Linked DNA regions of Lonchura striata. Each later gene encodes a partner of the first gene's protein in a complex. Links are inferred from orthologs where the notes say so. Each region holds a gene or a part of one and is shown in the gene's direction. Other genes may lie near its edges. The genes, in order: DLAT and PDK3.

Region 1 (7,636 bases):
CTTGTTGTGAAAATGTGGCTCATACCTCAGCCATCATTCCCATGTGTTCCCTGGATTATTTTGGGAAATCGGAGCTAGGATTTGACTTCATGGCCCTGATGCCACTCACACTGCAGAACCCTGTGTCCAGACCCCAGACATGACCGAAACACTTTATTTATTTGTTTGTTTGTTTATTTTTATGGTAGGTGTTCCATGATGATGACATCATTCCTGGCTGGGAGGGGAAAATCGTGGCCTGGGTGGAAGAAGACCACGGGGAGAATTAATGGAGCTCTCAAGCTCTGTTTCTATGGAAACCTGTGACTGTCTGCAGAGCTCGGAGAGTGACCAAGGAGCCCAAGTGCTGGGAAGAGACCAATTCGAGCTGCCAAAAAAGAGCCTCTGTGCCAGCCAGGGGTGGTGCAGGCTGTGTGCATGGACAGCTGGCACCTGACTGCCCGTGCCCGAGGGCAGCTGCTGTCCTGGGGCTGCAGGGACTGGTCTGTGGGGCAGAAACACCCGGCTTGGCCCTGCCAGCAAAACCCTGGAGGCCTTAAGGATGCTTTGCCCCCTTCTCTTCCATCCCTGCACTTTGTGCTGCAGGCTCAGCTGGGCATCTCCTGTGCTGGTGTCACACAAAACTGCACTGATGGTGAAAATGTGAAGCTTTGCCTGCATGCAGTAGAGCTGAATTGTGAGAGCTGAAGTTGGACCAGCTGGAAGTTGTCCTGCAGGAGCAGAGTGACTCTGGACATTGCAGGCTGACAGGACCTGTTCTGGGTGGGGGGAGAGTCCTCTGGAGGGCTGATGCATGACCTGAAGCACAGCTCACCAACCTGGCCAAGCTCCTTTTCTCCCAAACTCAGGCTCCTCTTTCCCAGCCCACTTTCCCCACTTTCCAAAGCTGTTCCCATCCCTGAGGACCTCAGGGCTGGCTTTGTCACTGAAGGGATCTGGGGGATCTCAGTGCTTGTTTGTTTGCTGAAGGATTTCATGGGTGGGGGAGCTGGAATCAGCTGCTTCCTGAGGTCCTCACACCCCCTGTCCTTGCTGAGCCTCTGTCCCTGCGCTCCTGCCCTCTGTGCTGTCACCTCCTGTGCACAGACATCCTCTGCTGCTGTCCCCCCACTGCCAGGGCCACCAAGCACTTATCCACACCAGTTCCTTGCTAAGCTTAGTCCTGAAGGATCAGGAAAGAACTGCTGGGGAAAGAACTGCTCTAAAATCCCCCAAGGGTGGATTTTTTCCCTTTGGTTTTTTGTGGTTTTGTTTTTCTACATCGCCGGTGGGCTTGGGAGGTCAAATGGGCTCTGCTCCTTCCTGTGGGCCTTCCATGGACTGTGTGTGTGTGCTGTGCATGAGGCTGGGAGAGGGGGCAACCTGGTTTTACTGTTTTATATCAACGTGTCCTTTTGTAAACCTGTTCTTGAAATTATTTTGTACCGATTCACATTTGTCTGAGGACTGTGGATATTTTTATACTAGTGCAAGTGCTCTCTGTATATTTCTGCACGCATTATACTGTGTTTTACTCCTTTCCTGGTGGATGCTGAGATGTTTTGTATCATCTTCTGTTGACACAACATTGGCCTTGTAATTTTATCTTACTATGGAAATCCAACTGGTCGATACTGGGTTTTATATCAGGGTTCCTACGTGGTTTTGTGCCACATTGGCACAACACAAACTGCCTCCTGTTCTGGACAATTTCTGTGACTTTCTGTTTTCAGACAGCAGGAGGAAAGTTAATCAATGAGCAGGTTAATTAATGGGGGGAAATACATCCCTTTTGGAAAAGAAACAATGATATTCCTTCTCCCCTGGACCTCGTTTCTCTGTTGCATGGTTTCTAGTGAAGAGGGCATGGGCTTGTGATACTGAGATCAATTGTATTTCAATTGCAAACTTCTCACAAGTGTTTCATTCTTTGGGTTTTACTCGTGGGTTTTATTTCAGCAACAGCCCTGCACCCAGGCTGGAGTTTCATGGAGCAAATTATGAAGTTTTTTTCAGGTCTGTGTTGGCCAGCTTCATGTCCTTCTCTGCTATCCAGAGCAGCAGTTTGCTTTGGGAGGTTTCTCCCCCATAAAAGCAAAGAGTGTCACTTTTAAATGAGTTTCAGCTCTTGACTCCGGAGATTTTGCTACAAGATCAACAAACATAGGAAAGGGAAAGTAACTCTGAGGAAAGGTGGGCAGAAATCAACCGGGTGTAAGCAGTGCTGGGATATGGCAGTGAGAGCACATCTCACAACAAAGCCACCCTCTGCAGAAAGACCTTTTTGCTTAGGCTGAGGTGGAACCTGCTATGTTTAAGTTAATGGTGTTTGCTGCTCCTCCTGCCGCACTGAGCGGAGCCTGGAGCTATCCCCGACACCCTTGGGTGCATTTATGTGTTCTGCCCGTTCCCGGGGAGCAGAGCTGAGCCTGGCTGTCCCCTGCTGCTGGGGAGCCTGCAGAGCCCGAGGTGCCCGGTTCTCCTTGTGCAGAACCCGAGGTGCCCGGTTCTCCTTGTACAGAGTCCCAGGTGCCCGGTTCTCCTTGTACAGAGCCCGAGGTGCCCAGTTCTCCTTGTACAGAGCCCCAGGTGCCCGGTTTTCCTTGTACAGAGCCAGAGGTGCCCGGTTCTCCTTGTACAGAGCCCGAGGTGCCCGGTTTTCCTTGTACAGAGCCCGAGGTGCCCGGTTTTCCCTGTGCAGAACCCGAGGTGCCCGGTTTTCCTTGTACAGAGCCCCAGGTGCCCGGTTTTCCTTGTACAGAGCCCCAGGTGCCCGGTTTTCCCTGTGCAGATCCCTAAAATGCCCGGTTTCCCTGCACAGAGCTCTAAGGTGCCCGGTTTTCCTTGTAAAGACCCCCAGGTGCCCAGTTTTCCCCATGCAGACCCCGAGGTGCCCAGCTTTTCCTGCCAGCGAGTTTTCCTGCCGCTTTTCCCTGCACAGAGCCCTGAGGTGCCCGGTTTTCCCTGAGCAGAACCCACCGGTGCCCGGTTTTCCTGGTTTTCCTGCCGGGGAGCTGTGCAGAGGCCTAAGGTGCCCAGTTTTCCCTGTACAGACCCCCGGTGCCCGGTTTTCCTTGTGCAAACACCCAGGTACCTGGTTTCCATGCCAGTTTTCCCTGTACAGACCCCCAGTGCCCGGTTTTCCTGCCGGTTTTCCCTATGCACTGCTCCCGGTGCCCGGTTTTCCTGGTGGGGAGCTGTGCAGACCCCGAGGTGCCCGGTCCTGTGCACAGCCCCCGGTGCCCGGTTTTCATGCCCGGTTTCTCCATTCAGAACCCCCCGGTGCCCGGTTTTCCTGCCGGTTTTCCCTATGCACTGCTCCCGGTGCCCGGTTTTCCTGGTGGGAAGCTGTGCAGACCCCGAGGTGCCCGGTCCTGTGCACAGCCCCCGGTGCCCGGTTTCCAAGCCGGTCCCCCCGCTTGGAGCCCCCGATGCCCGGTTTTCATGCCCGGTCTCCCCGTTCAGAACCCCCCGGTGCCCGGTTTCTCCATTCAGAACCCCCCGGTGCCCGGTCTCCCCGTTCAGAACCCCGCGGTGCCCGGTTTCCATGCCGGTTTCTCCATTCAGAACCCCCCGGTGCCCGGTTTCCAAGCCGGTTTCCCCGTTCAGAACCCCCCGGTGCCCGGTTTCTCCATTCAGAACCCCCCGGTGCCCGGTTTCCATGCCCGGTCTCCCCGTTCAGAACCCCCCGGTGCCCGGTCCCCCGCTCGGAGCCCCGCTGCCGGCTGCCCTCCCGCCGGGCCGGGCGGGCTGAGGCGGTGCCGGTGCCTGAGGCGGTGACGGGGCAGTGCCGGGCCGGTGCCGGGGCGGTGCCGGGGCGGTGCCGGGGCGGTGCCGGGGCGGTGCCGGGGCGGTGCCGGTGCCGGGGCGGTGCCGGGGCGGTGCTGGGGCGGTGCCTGAGGCGGTGCCGGTGCCGGGGCGGTGCCGGGGCGCGGGGCGGTGCCGGGGCGGTGCCGGGCCGGTGCCGGGGCGCGGGCCGGTGCCGGGGCGGTGCCTGAGGCGGTGCCGGGGCGGTGCCTGAGGCGGTGCCGGTGCCGGTGCCGGGGCGGTGCCGGTGCCGGGGCGGTGCCTGAGGCGGTGCCGGGGCGGTGCCGGGGCGGTGCCTGAGGCGGTGCCGGGGCGGTGCCGGTGCCGGGGCGCGGGGCGGTGCCGGGGCGGTGCCTGAGGCGGTGCCGGGGCGGTGCCTGAGGCGGTGCCGGTGCCGGTGCCGGGGCGGTGCCGGGGCGCGGGGCGGTGCCGGGGCGGTGCCGGGGCGGTGCCTGAGGCGGTGCCGGGGCGGTGCCGGTGCCGGGGCGCGGGGCGGTGCCGGGGCGGTGCCGGGGCGGTGCCGGGGCGGTGCCGGGGCGGTGCCGGTGCCGGGGCGGTGCCTGAGGCGGTGCCGGGGCAGTGCCGGGGCGGTGCCTGAGGCGGTGCCGGGGCGGTGCCGGTGCCGGGGCGGTGCCGGGGCAGTGCCTGAGGCGGTGCCGGGGCGCGGGGCGGTGCCTGAGGCGCGCTGGCCGCCGCCCTCCGCCGCTTTACGGCCGCCCCAGTGTCGCGCTCGCCGCCCGCGCGGAGGTCACCGAGCGCCGCCGGCCCGGTCCGCCCGGCCCAGCCCGCTGCAGCCCGGCCCCAGCATGTGGCGGGTGTTGGCGCGACGCGTGTCCCGGGGCGCGGCCCGGCCGCCCGGCCCGGTGCGGCCCCGCCGAGCGCTCGGGGCCGGGGTCGGGGCCGGCCCGGCCCGGCACGGCCCGGTCTGGGGCGGCCCCGCGCCTCGCCCGCTGCTGCCGCCGCCCGCCTGGCCCCGGCTCGTCCCGCGCCGCTGCTGCAGCCTCCCGGCGCACCAGAAGGTGAGGGTCACCCCCGGGCCCCGGGCTGGCCCCCGTGCCCCCCGCTGCCCCTTCTTCCCCCAGGCCTCCCCCTTGCTTTCCCCAAAACTCCCCCTTGCTTTCCCCAATCCTGCCCCTTGCTTTCCCCAATCCTCCCCCTTGATTTCCCCAATCCTGCCCCTTGCTTCCCCCAGTCCTCCCCCTTGCTTTCCCCAACCCCCCTTGCTTCCCCAGTCCTGCCCCTTCTTTCCCCCTCCCTTCCCCTTCTTTCCCCAATCCTTCCCCTTGCTTTCCCCGATCCTGCCCCTTGCTTTCCCCGATCCTCCCCCTTGCTTTCCCCAATCCTCCCCCTTGCTTTCCCCAGTCCTCCCCCTTCTCTTTCCCCAATCCTCCCCCTTCTCTTTCCCCAATCCTCCCCCTTCTCTTTCCCCAATCCTCCCCCTTCTCTTTCCCCAATCCTGCCCCTTCTCTTTCCCCAATCCTGCCCCTTCTCTTTCCCCAATCCTGCCCCTTGCTTCTCCTCAGTCCTGCCCCTTCTTTCCCCCTCCCTGCCCCTTTCCCCAATCCTGCCCCTTTCCCCAATCCTGCCCCTTTCCCCAATCCTGCCCCTTTCCCCATCCCTGCCCCTTGCTTTCCCTCTCCCTGCCCCTTCTCTTTCCCCAGTCCTGCCCATTTCTTCCCCCCATCCTGCCCTTTCTCTTCCCCCCTCCTTGCCCTTTCTCTTCCCCCCATCCTGCATTTTCTCTTTCTCATCCCTGCCCCTTCTCTCTCCCCCTCCGCGTTTTCAGTCCCCTCCCCGTGCGGCTCAGTTTGCCCCGGGGATTGAAATCATCGGCTGGAGAATTCCTGTAGGATAATCAAGCCAGCCCCCTACCCGCCCGCCCCGGGGATGGGCTCCGTGGGTAAAACCTATTCCAACGCCTGGCTACCCAAACTGGGAGAAAATCAGTGATTTTTGTGTCTTTGGCACCACTTAGGCTCAAGCCCCTGGGTGGCTTTATCCTTTATCCCAGCACTGCTGTTGGTTCTTAGCAGACCCAGGCCCAGCCCTGGTGTGCTGTAACCTTTTCCTGGTTGAAATTACAGAGTGTTAAGGGGTTGGAATGGACCTTAAAGCCATGTGCAGGGACACCTTCCACCCTCCCACGTTGTTCCAAGCCCCACCCAGGCTGACCTTGAACACTTCCAGGGATGGGGCAAGCACAGCCTCTGCCCTCAGCACCCAGTGTGAGTTTGCCAGGGTTCTTCACCAGCAGCGTGGGACAGTGCTGGGGATTTGCAGCAGATCTGTGCCCCACATCCCACGCTGAGCTGAGGATTTGTCTCTGTCCCGTGTGTGCTTCCTGCTGCTGGATCTGTCTGGGCTGTGACACTGTGCTGTCCCTCACAGGTGACCCTGCCAGCGCTGTCCCCCACGATGCAGATGGGCACCATCTCACGCTGGGAGAAGAAGGAGGGGGACAAGATCAATGAAGGGGATCTCATAGCAGAGGTATCCTGGGGATGGGGCTGGGCTGGTCTCTCTTGAGCTGCACGTGTGGCCTGGGGGCTGTCCCCGGCTGAAGACAGATTTTGGATCCCAGATCCCAAGGGATGCTGGTGGGAAGGAGTGGCTGTCAGCCTCTCAGAGCTGGTTTGGGGGCAAACTTCCCTAGAGCTGCTGCCTCAGGGTGATTTTTCCAGAGCTGTGACCCTGCAGCAAACTGGGAAGCTCTGGGCTCACCATTTCCTCTTCTCTCTCAAAGGTGGAGACAGACAAAGCTACAGTTGGCTTTGAGAGCCTGGAGGAATGTTACCTGGCCAAGATCCTGGTGCCTGAAGGAACAAGGGATGTTCCTATTGGGGCTATAATATGCATCACAGTAGAAAAGTATGTATTTTCCTGACCCTCGATGTGAATTTTCCCTCCTGGGGCTTCTGGAGTGCCTTGAGTGAGAGACTGAGGCCATCACCTGATGGGCTTTGGGGCTCTGTGTGTTCTTCTAGGCCTGAACATATTGATGCCTTCAAAAATTACACCCTGGATTCTGCAGCAGCTGCTGCCCCCGCAGCCTCAGTGCCTCCCCCTCCAGCTGCAGCCCCCTCCCCACCACCTCAGCCTTCTCCTCAGGCCCCTGGCAGCTCTTACCCTCCTCACATGCAGGTAAGAGAGCACTGCTCCTGCTTTAAGGCTTCTTGCATGCTTTTTCTGCCCCTGGCATTGCTACCTGTGGGGCATTTTGCCATAAAAACTGTCTGGAATGGGAATTTATTAACTGTGCCACCTCAGTTGTGTTCTTAAAGCAGATGTCGGGGGACATCCCAGAAAGCTTTTTTAATAAATTCATTTCAGCATCCCAGCTGCTGGTGGAGGAGAGGCTTGTCCCTCCAGGGTTGTTGTCTTGAAAAATGTGCCAAAACTGCATTATTTGGACAGTTGTGGTATAAAAAGTCTTCGTGCTTAGTGTGAATAAGCTCTGCTCATAGAGCAGAGCTCCAGTCCCTGGTGCTCTGGTGACCACACCAGATGTGTCTGTGGGTGACTAATAATGAACTGTGTTTGTGGGTATAACCTTTTTGCTCTGCTTAGGTTTTGAAGTGTATCCACTGATGGATTTGAGCTCTTTGTATACAGGGGGTTGCTTTGACACCCCTTTGAAAAAGAAACTCTGGAATATTGAACCCCATCCCACAGATGAAGCATGTGGGAACTGATTTGTCTGAGATGTTACTCAAAGTCAGTAATAAAAGAATTAATGAATGGCTTCTAAATTTGTGTTTTGGCTACTAAAGTTGCTTTCTTCCCTCTGCTTGCCCCCACTGCCCAGTTTTGCTCCTGGTGTGTGTGTCACAGTGACAAAGTGATTTGCTGC
Region 2 (7,771 bases), on another chromosome or scaffold:
TTTTTTTGTAAAAAAAAAAAAAAATTAAAACCCCCAACGTATTCCACAATGTCAGTGTGTCTAAAAACACTAATAACCATGTTTTCTTGGTTTACAGTTTAGGATTACTTTTCCCCTCCTCTGACATCCATACAAAGAAGTCCATTATGCTTAATCCCCTGCAGCTAGTTTATAGACCTACTATGTATTCTGCAGTGAAATAAAACAAGCTTTGTTAAGAAGATTATGGCTCTGGTCTGAAATTTTCACTGTGAATATATGTTCCTTGGGTGAAATATTACATGCAAAAGCTTTGATCCCTGAAAACAAGTGTGTGTAATATAAAGGTCCAGAAAGAATGAGATCTGAAAATGTAACAAAAATGCATCTTTTAAAACCTCCATACCAAGTTTGCCTACAAATTTCTGTAGGAGTGAATTTCTAATTTTAACTTTTAAGCACTCTCTTAGCACTTTAAGGGCTAAGAAAACTAAAACTTAGGGAGATTTTTATTTTCTGGTAACTTAATTTTCTCGTTACTAGACATAGAAGGGTCTCTTATTTATCTCCCGGCTCCACTGAATTAACATATAAAGACAAGTCCCATAGAAGGAATAGCAAAAGCTCTCCCATGTACACTCTGTCATTAAGGTACACAGTCCCTCCCTCCCATCAGAGCTAAAACACAAACCTAGGGGAGGCCAATTTTTAAGTACTGTCTCTAAATCCAGTGGTCAACAGTCAGTGCTAGAAATTTCTGAGGGTAGGAAACACAAAAGCTTTGCTTTTGCAAATATTCTCTACATCAGTTTCTCTGTTTTAGGGAGTCACTCTGCAGCTAATCCTGATATTGCTGCTTTTCCCTCTCAAAGTTTTTGTGAGTTAGAAGCAGTGATTTTATACCACCTCCAACACAGAAAACCAACAAAAATTATTAAGGCAAGATTGTTTATTCATATTTAATTATCCATCTCCTTTGCCACAGTGATGGCCCAACAAGAACTGATTCCATGATGTGTCTGGGGCTCCTGGGATCAAGCCAGGGGCCGTGGGGCTGGGTAGTGCTCCCTAAGCCAGGACACCACAGGCATTTTGTCCTCGGTGCAGGGTTCTGGCAAGTGTCCATACCAAGACCCTAATTCCCTTACAGGTGCTGTGGTTTCCAGTTGCCTGTATGCTCACAGATTTTAATTGAACAAGTGACTAAGTTGTTCTGGATACTAAATGGCCATGTAAACGTGAGTCATCTTTGACCCCTTGGTTAATTCCAGTTGTTCCATATTTGAAACTAACTGGAAAATATGAAAACAATACTCTCAGTAAAAGAGAGATGATAAAAACACCAGAGAAATTCAGCAGTGTTAGGTGTTATCAACGTTAAAATCAAATTTTCTTAAGGAGTAAATAATTTCTTTCCTGTATGCCTGTAGAAGTTTATTAACATTTAATCAAAGATGCAGGGCGGCTCTCACAGAGTTCAGGAAGCTTTTCTGCACCAGATATGTTCTGAAATACATAAAGAAGGCAGGTATGAGGTATGAGAAATTCAATCGGTCCAAAAAGCAAAACTCAGCTTCTATAATTTAATCCTATGGATCCCAGTGATATTTTGTACTTTGCACGGGTTATGCCACTAACTTCTCTTCATTTAGGTAGATTGTTTAAGAACTAGGTTTATGTGTATTCTTGCTGCTTCTTGCATTGGTAAAACCATAGCCTTTCCCATGTGCATTTTATGTTCTCTCAAGCAAGTCCTGCAGTCTTCTTAAGCACAAGGCCACAAAGAGCTGCTGGGTGGGTCTGGGATTTGAATGTCTCTACAGTGTGTTTCCAACAGTTTTTGGAGAATTCGAGTTGTTGGTTTTGTCATCAATTTCTCCAGAGCTGAGAGAAGCTACTGGGAGTCTGATAAGAAGAGCACACCTCTGTTTCGCAGTGACTTTGTGCGTGTCCTCATTGTGGCTTTAGTCTGTATCACCATAGACAAAAACAATTCCAATTTTTCACATGGGTTGGCTAATATAAGATTAAGAAATTAAAAAAAAAAAATGATGCTGTGATGCTTTATATTGCAAAAATGATTTTGTGTTTAGAAAGACAACTCAATAGTTAACTGTTGTCTTGCCACTTTTTGAAGCTGAAATCACACTAGAATTACTTTAAAATGTGAAAGATACATAAAATCAAGTGGTTTAAATGTTGATAATTAATCATAATTTGAAGCTGCTAATTTCATCTTAATTTGGGAAATGTTGTTCTGTCTTTAACAAAAAAAGACAGTTTTCTGCCAGATAATTCCACAACTGATTTCAGTTATGCTCTAAATGAATCACAATCAAATCCTGATGAGTATATATAACAAAAGTTTTAAAACACTTTTCCCACCTGCCAAAAAAGCTTCAGAATTACAGTAGATGATTCATTTTGTCAGTCTTGATTACGTGACATGCTTCTTCAAGCCAGTCATTCCTATAAGCTGCAACTGAAGTGATTTTAAAATGCTTTCCAGTTATTTGTACATTAGGTGAGGATTTCTCAGTCTCTAATTCAGTGAGGACAATCATGACAGAAAGGATGGAGAGAGACTTCCAATAATTGAAGAGTACTGGGTTTTTTTGCAAGTCAGTTATAAAATTAGAGTAATACTATCTTGTACCTGCTAAAACTTGCATTTAATTCACTGGAGAAAAATAAGGAACTGGTCACCAGTTATTTGCCTTAAATGTACCTAAACCACATCATAGCAAAAACCAATCAGTGACTGCATTCAGTGATACATTTTGATACTACAATACCTTGCTTCACTTTTGATTCTAGACATCAAAATTAATTTTAATTGTGTTCAGATGCTTTCTCAGATAAAAATGGGAAATTTTCAGAAAATTTCAACTATTGTAACATGTAGTGAACTTAGTTCTACCAGCCTCACACCCGCTGTACAACCCAGTGGATACCTGAGGGCTGTATTTTGGCTGGAAGCAAGCACCCTGTTATGGACCAGGTGAGACATATGAACTGGTCCATACAAAACCTGAAGAGAGGCTGTAGCCAGGTGGGTTTGGGCTCTTCTCCCAGGCAACCAGCTACAGGCCATGAGGACATAGTCTTAAACTGCCAGGGGAGGGTTAGGTTGGACATCAGGAGGAATTTCTTCACAGACAGGGTGATTAGATAATAGAGTAGACTGCCAAGGTGTTGCAAGATGTGGAATATGTAAAATTTGCTCAAGAAAATATGTTCTTTGATGTTTGAGCTTTGTATATGTTCAAGCTTAATCAAGAAGCAGATTTAATCTGTGAAACAGATAGCAGCTAGCAAGCAAGCTCTAAGTGATGTCCAGCTGTCAGAAAAACAACTTGTTGGTAGAATTGCCTTGTTAAGGTTAGGGCTTGACATGATGTGATGATCTCGGATGTAGAGGGAGGTTAACAGTCCTTGGGGAGGAGGATGCCCACTGATAGTGGACACAAAGAACGCAGAATTCACGGGCCACAAGGACATCTGGCAGAACTCTCAACATTAAGAAGAAACCAATAAAGCTAACTCAGTAATTGTGCTGAAGTCAGCTCCAGCTGGGTAAAAGGTGGTTCTGGCAGGGGGAGACTGGGACCGCCGACTCCTGGCCCAGGAAAGCCCTGCACCAGAAGAGAGGTCTAATTAACATGGCAGGTGGGAGAATCATTGACCAATAAAAGAATACTGATTAATAAGAGAGCTATGTAACTTGTAGCCAATGACAACCTAATCTTTTGTTTGCTAAAATCTATAATTAGCAAAAAGTTTTGATAGTTGGCGTGCTTGACTCATAGAATATCACTGAGCACTCTAGCTTGCCCAACCCTGAAACAAAACATCTCTTTCTCGAGTATTATTACTGGCTTTTCACACAGCAGGTCATGAAACCGATTTTTGTGGACAACACGGTGGCGGAGCGACCGTCCTTGGAGGAAAGAGAGGGAGGAAAGAGCGGACGTGCCGCTCAGCGCCATGGCGTAGCTGGCACGGCGGTGTTGGGTCGCAGGCTGGGCTCGGTGATCCCAGGGGTTTTTCCAGCCTGGCCGAGGGCAGCGCCGGTGCCCCCGGGGCGGGCTCAGACAGCCGGCGGTGCCCCCGGGGCGGGCTCAGACACCCGGCGGTGCCCCCGGGCCGGGCTCAGACACCCCGCGCTCCCGCCCCCGGGGCGGGCTCAGACACCCGGCGGTGCCCCCGGGGCGAGCTCAGACACCGGGCGGTGCCCCCGGGTCGGGCTCAGACACCCGGCGGTGCCCCCGGGGCGAGCTCAGACACCCGGCGGTGCCCCCGGGGCGAGCTCAGACACCCCGCGCTCCCGCCCCCGGGGCGAGCTCAGACACGCCGCGCTCCCGCCCCCGCGGCCGCGCTCCCGCCCCCGCGGCCGCGCTCCCGCCCCCGCGGCCGCGCTCCCGCCCCCGCGGCCGCGCTCCCGCCCCCGCGGCCGCGCTCCCGCCCCCGCGGCCGCGCTCCCGCCCCCGCGGCCGCGCTCCCGCCCCCGCGGCCGCGCTCCCGCCCCCGCGGCCGCGCTCCCGCCCCCGCGGCCGCGCTCCCGCCCCCGCGGCCGCGCTCCCGCCCCGCCCCCGCGCGCAGCGTGCGCGTGCGCGGAGCGGGCTCGGCGCTCGCCCCTCCCGCCGGGCCGGGCCGGGCCGCGGAGCGCGACGGGCGGCGCGGAGCGGCCGCGCCCGGGCAGGAGCCGCCGGCGGCGGGAGCGCAGCGGAGCCGGGCGGGCCGCGCCATGCGGCTGTGCGGGGCGCTGCTCAAGAGCCCCGTCCCCAAGCAGATCGAGTACTACTCGCGCTTCTCCCCCTCGCCCCTCTCCATCAAGCAGTTCCTCGACTTCGGTGAGTGCGGGGCCGCGGGGTGAGGGCGTGCGGGGGTCGCCGCGGCTCTCCCGGGCAGCGGCGGTGGCGGCCGGCGCGCAGGCCCCGCTCCTCGGCCCGGCTCCTCGGCCCGGCTCCTCGGCCCCGCTCCTCGGCCCCGCTCCTCGGCCCCGCTCCTCGGCCGCATCGGGAGCGCGGCCCGGCCCGGCCCGGCCCGGCCCGGGGCCCCGCAGGGCCCGCGCGGACAGCCCCGGGCCCGGGCGCGGTGTCGGCACCGGCGGACAGCCGCTGCTCGCCTCGCCGAGGGGCCGGAGCGGCGGGCTGGCTCCTCCTTCCTGCGTTATCCCTGACACGGGTACCATTGGGATGGGGGTCAGCATAAGGGTTCCTGACCTGATGTTTTGTGAGCTTAGCGAGTGAAGGAGAGAGTAAAGTAATGGTCTTGAGCGTGAACATTTGCATCTGCCGTGCTGAGATCGGCTTACTTAATGCTCGGACGTGAACTCTTAACCTCACGTGTATAGGAGACCTGTTTGTGTAAAATTCATGAGCACTTCAGGAAATGTTGCTGATGATAAATAGCATTTTTCTTTTCAGAAGCCCTGGAATGAAATCCAGGAGTGGCTTGTGTTGTTAAAAAACATGCTTCCATCTAGATAATGATAAACTCATTTCTGTATCGGAAGTTATTTGACTCTTGCTCTCTGACACGAGAATTGTTGAGATTTTATTAACCTATAAATATTGCTGGTAAAGTGAATAAAAAGGCCATGTGTAACGTCATGAAGCTTAACACAGAGTGTTTCTTCATTACACTCTTACAGTAAGGGACAAACATGAGCCAGTGTTCAGCCAGAAAGTGATTAAAAGTGAATACAATTGCACAATTATGGTAATGGTATTAGTGAAAGAATGCTGTAAGTACAGAAAGCCAGTAATGGGCTTGATAGATGTCTCAGTGAAACAGGATTTTGTACTGTTAAAAAACCCAACAAAACCCCCTGTCTCCACTTAAAGGAGAACCTGAGTAGAAGTTGTGCTTTCTTTCTCTGCTCTCCGTTCACCTGAGTTTGTTACCTCTTCCCCACCCCTTCCTGTGCTGCTGGGCTTCTTCTCTAGCATTGGTGCTTCTTATGCTGTGTCTTTCTGTACTGACAAGAACAACGGCCTAAATCTTAGAACATCTTTATTTTAGCCCTGGCACTAAACAAATTGTGTCACTGTAGCTTATTTGAAAGTTGGGTTTCTGAATTGTTGCTGGGGAAGTATTAGTGTTTGTGAGCCTTTTCAGTTGTGACTAGAGGTGTAAAGATTTCAAGATTTGCTTTAAAGCCTTGGATGTTCGGACAAAACTTTGCTTTTTGGTAAGTATTTCTACAGTTCTATGTTGCCCAGCGTTACTGTTTGCCTTTGGACATCTCTTCTGTGGCAGCTTTTTCATTATGCACTTGTTTTAACATTGTAGTGCCTGTATTACTTTATGGTCTTGTGATTCTTCAGAAGAAGTAGTTTTCTTTTACAACTTTAAGTCTGGCTTCTTTTACTGGAAATGAACAGAGCAAGAACAGGAAGTTACAGCCTGGCCAGCCTTATTCTTTAGATATGCTCCAGTTCTCACTGGATGTGTCATTGGAATCTTCTGTATGTGTGGCCATGTATTTAAGGGTCTTCATGTCTTAAGACTGATGGGAAGCTATGTAGTCACTGACATTTAAAACCTCTGAAGAAAAAAAAGTCTATGGTTTAGTCTTGAAAGGTTGCCAGGAGTTTCTAAAATTAGTAGGTCTATGTTATATCAACCTTGCTAAACCTATCACCTTAATCTTAATAAGTTTTATGGGCCACTTAACATCTTCACTTACTTACTCTTTAATGCTTGTATTTATTTGGGAAAACTCAAGTAGGAAGATTACAGCAGTTTAAGGAAATAAATGGAACCCAGTGTAGTTACTTAACTTACGTGATCCTAATTGTTTACAGCTTTGGGTAATTTCAAGTTCAGCTGGAGTCTTCATAGGCCTAAAGGAAAATGTGAGTGATAGTGCAAAAGTTTTCCCACTTGAGGTGTGGAAGGCCTGAACAATATGCACCATGTCAGGGAACTGTGTTGCTTATGTATTGAGTTAGCCAAAAAAGAATTTGCTGGTGTCACAGGACACAAGTATTCAAGAGACAAAATATGCCAAGCATAAGGAGCACAATACTCAAGGTGCAGTTCAGTGGTGCTTGTTTATTTGTAAGAATGTTTGATGGGAAGAAGACACTGTTTTGTGGTCAGCTTATAGAGGCTATTTGGTGTCTCACTTCAAATAAATGGTCTTTTTAATTGAGCTACATGAATGTAGTGCTAGTTTTACAAAAACGTGGCTGAATTTTCAACAAATGCTGAAGAAGAGTAAGCCCAAAGGATATGTGTGAATAACCCTATAATGGTTGTCTGATTTTGTTGTCTGATGCACATTTCTCATACAGAATTTACACGTACTGCGATTTGGATTTGTGTGAAGAAAGTTTTTCAACTTGATTTCTGATGATGGTGAAACTACAATGTGTTCTTTATGTCCATTTTATATTGGCTGTATTGGTTTAGAGTGAGTTGACTTACAGAACTGTAAAATTCTGGTGAGCCAGGGGAGAGAAACTGTATTTCCTATGAGCTGAAGAGTCTCTTCAAAGATAGTTGGCAGCAATGTGTATTGAAGTGCAGCTTGGGCTTTTTTAAATTACTGACTACCAGTGTGGGTTGTATGGAACACAGTTGTGTGCATAGCGAGGCTGTAGAGTCTCTATTTCTTTCCAGTCATATAAATTAATGACATTTGTTTTAAAACTTTCTCTGCTTCATTCAGCTATTTAAACCACTATAAGAGACAGTTTGTTTAAAGTAGCTTGCTAGTACTAAAAACCTGTGAGGCAAACCAGAAGGCAGTAGTTAAGGCAGTGACACTTGCTTGGCTTTG

Evidence for each region.
Region 2: the proteins of DLAT (region 1) and PDK3 are in contact, whole or in part, in a crystal structure (PDB 1Y8N), measured with the Homo sapiens proteins. The link is inferred for Lonchura striata from reciprocal best matches to the Homo sapiens genes DLAT and PDK3. Residues at the interface, in NP_001922.2 of Homo sapiens: Ala225, Leu226, Ser227, Pro228, Thr229, Glu248, Gly249, Lys259, Ala260, Ile262, Glu265; in NP_005382.1 of Homo sapiens: Arg21, Phe22, Ser23, Pro24, Ser25, Pro26, Leu27, Phe48, Lys51, Val55, Asn373, Lys374, Ser375, Arg378.

The regions. Positions count from the first base shown.
Region 1 is NC_134625.1:9,522,406-9,530,041, forward strand, and holds the start of DLAT (dihydrolipoyllysine-residue acetyltransferase component of pyruvate dehydrogenase complex, mitochondrial), read left to right. Parts: upstream 1-4,592; coding exon 4,593-4,805; intron 4,806-6,174; coding exon 6,175-6,276; intron 6,277-6,529; coding exon 6,530-6,654; intron 6,655-6,770; coding exon 6,771-6,927; intron 6,928-7,636. Other genes in the region: DIXDC1 (dixin), read left to right, coding at 189-269.
Region 2 is NC_134604.1:103,971,091-103,978,861, forward strand, and holds the start of PDK3 (pyruvate dehydrogenase kinase, isozyme 3), read left to right. Parts: upstream 1-4,670; 5' UTR 4,671-4,726; coding exon 4,727-4,832; intron 4,833-7,771. UniProt on the Homo sapiens protein: Inhibits pyruvate dehydrogenase activity by phosphorylation of the E1 subunit PDHA1, and thereby regulates glucose metabolism and aerobic respiration. Can also phosphorylate PDHA2.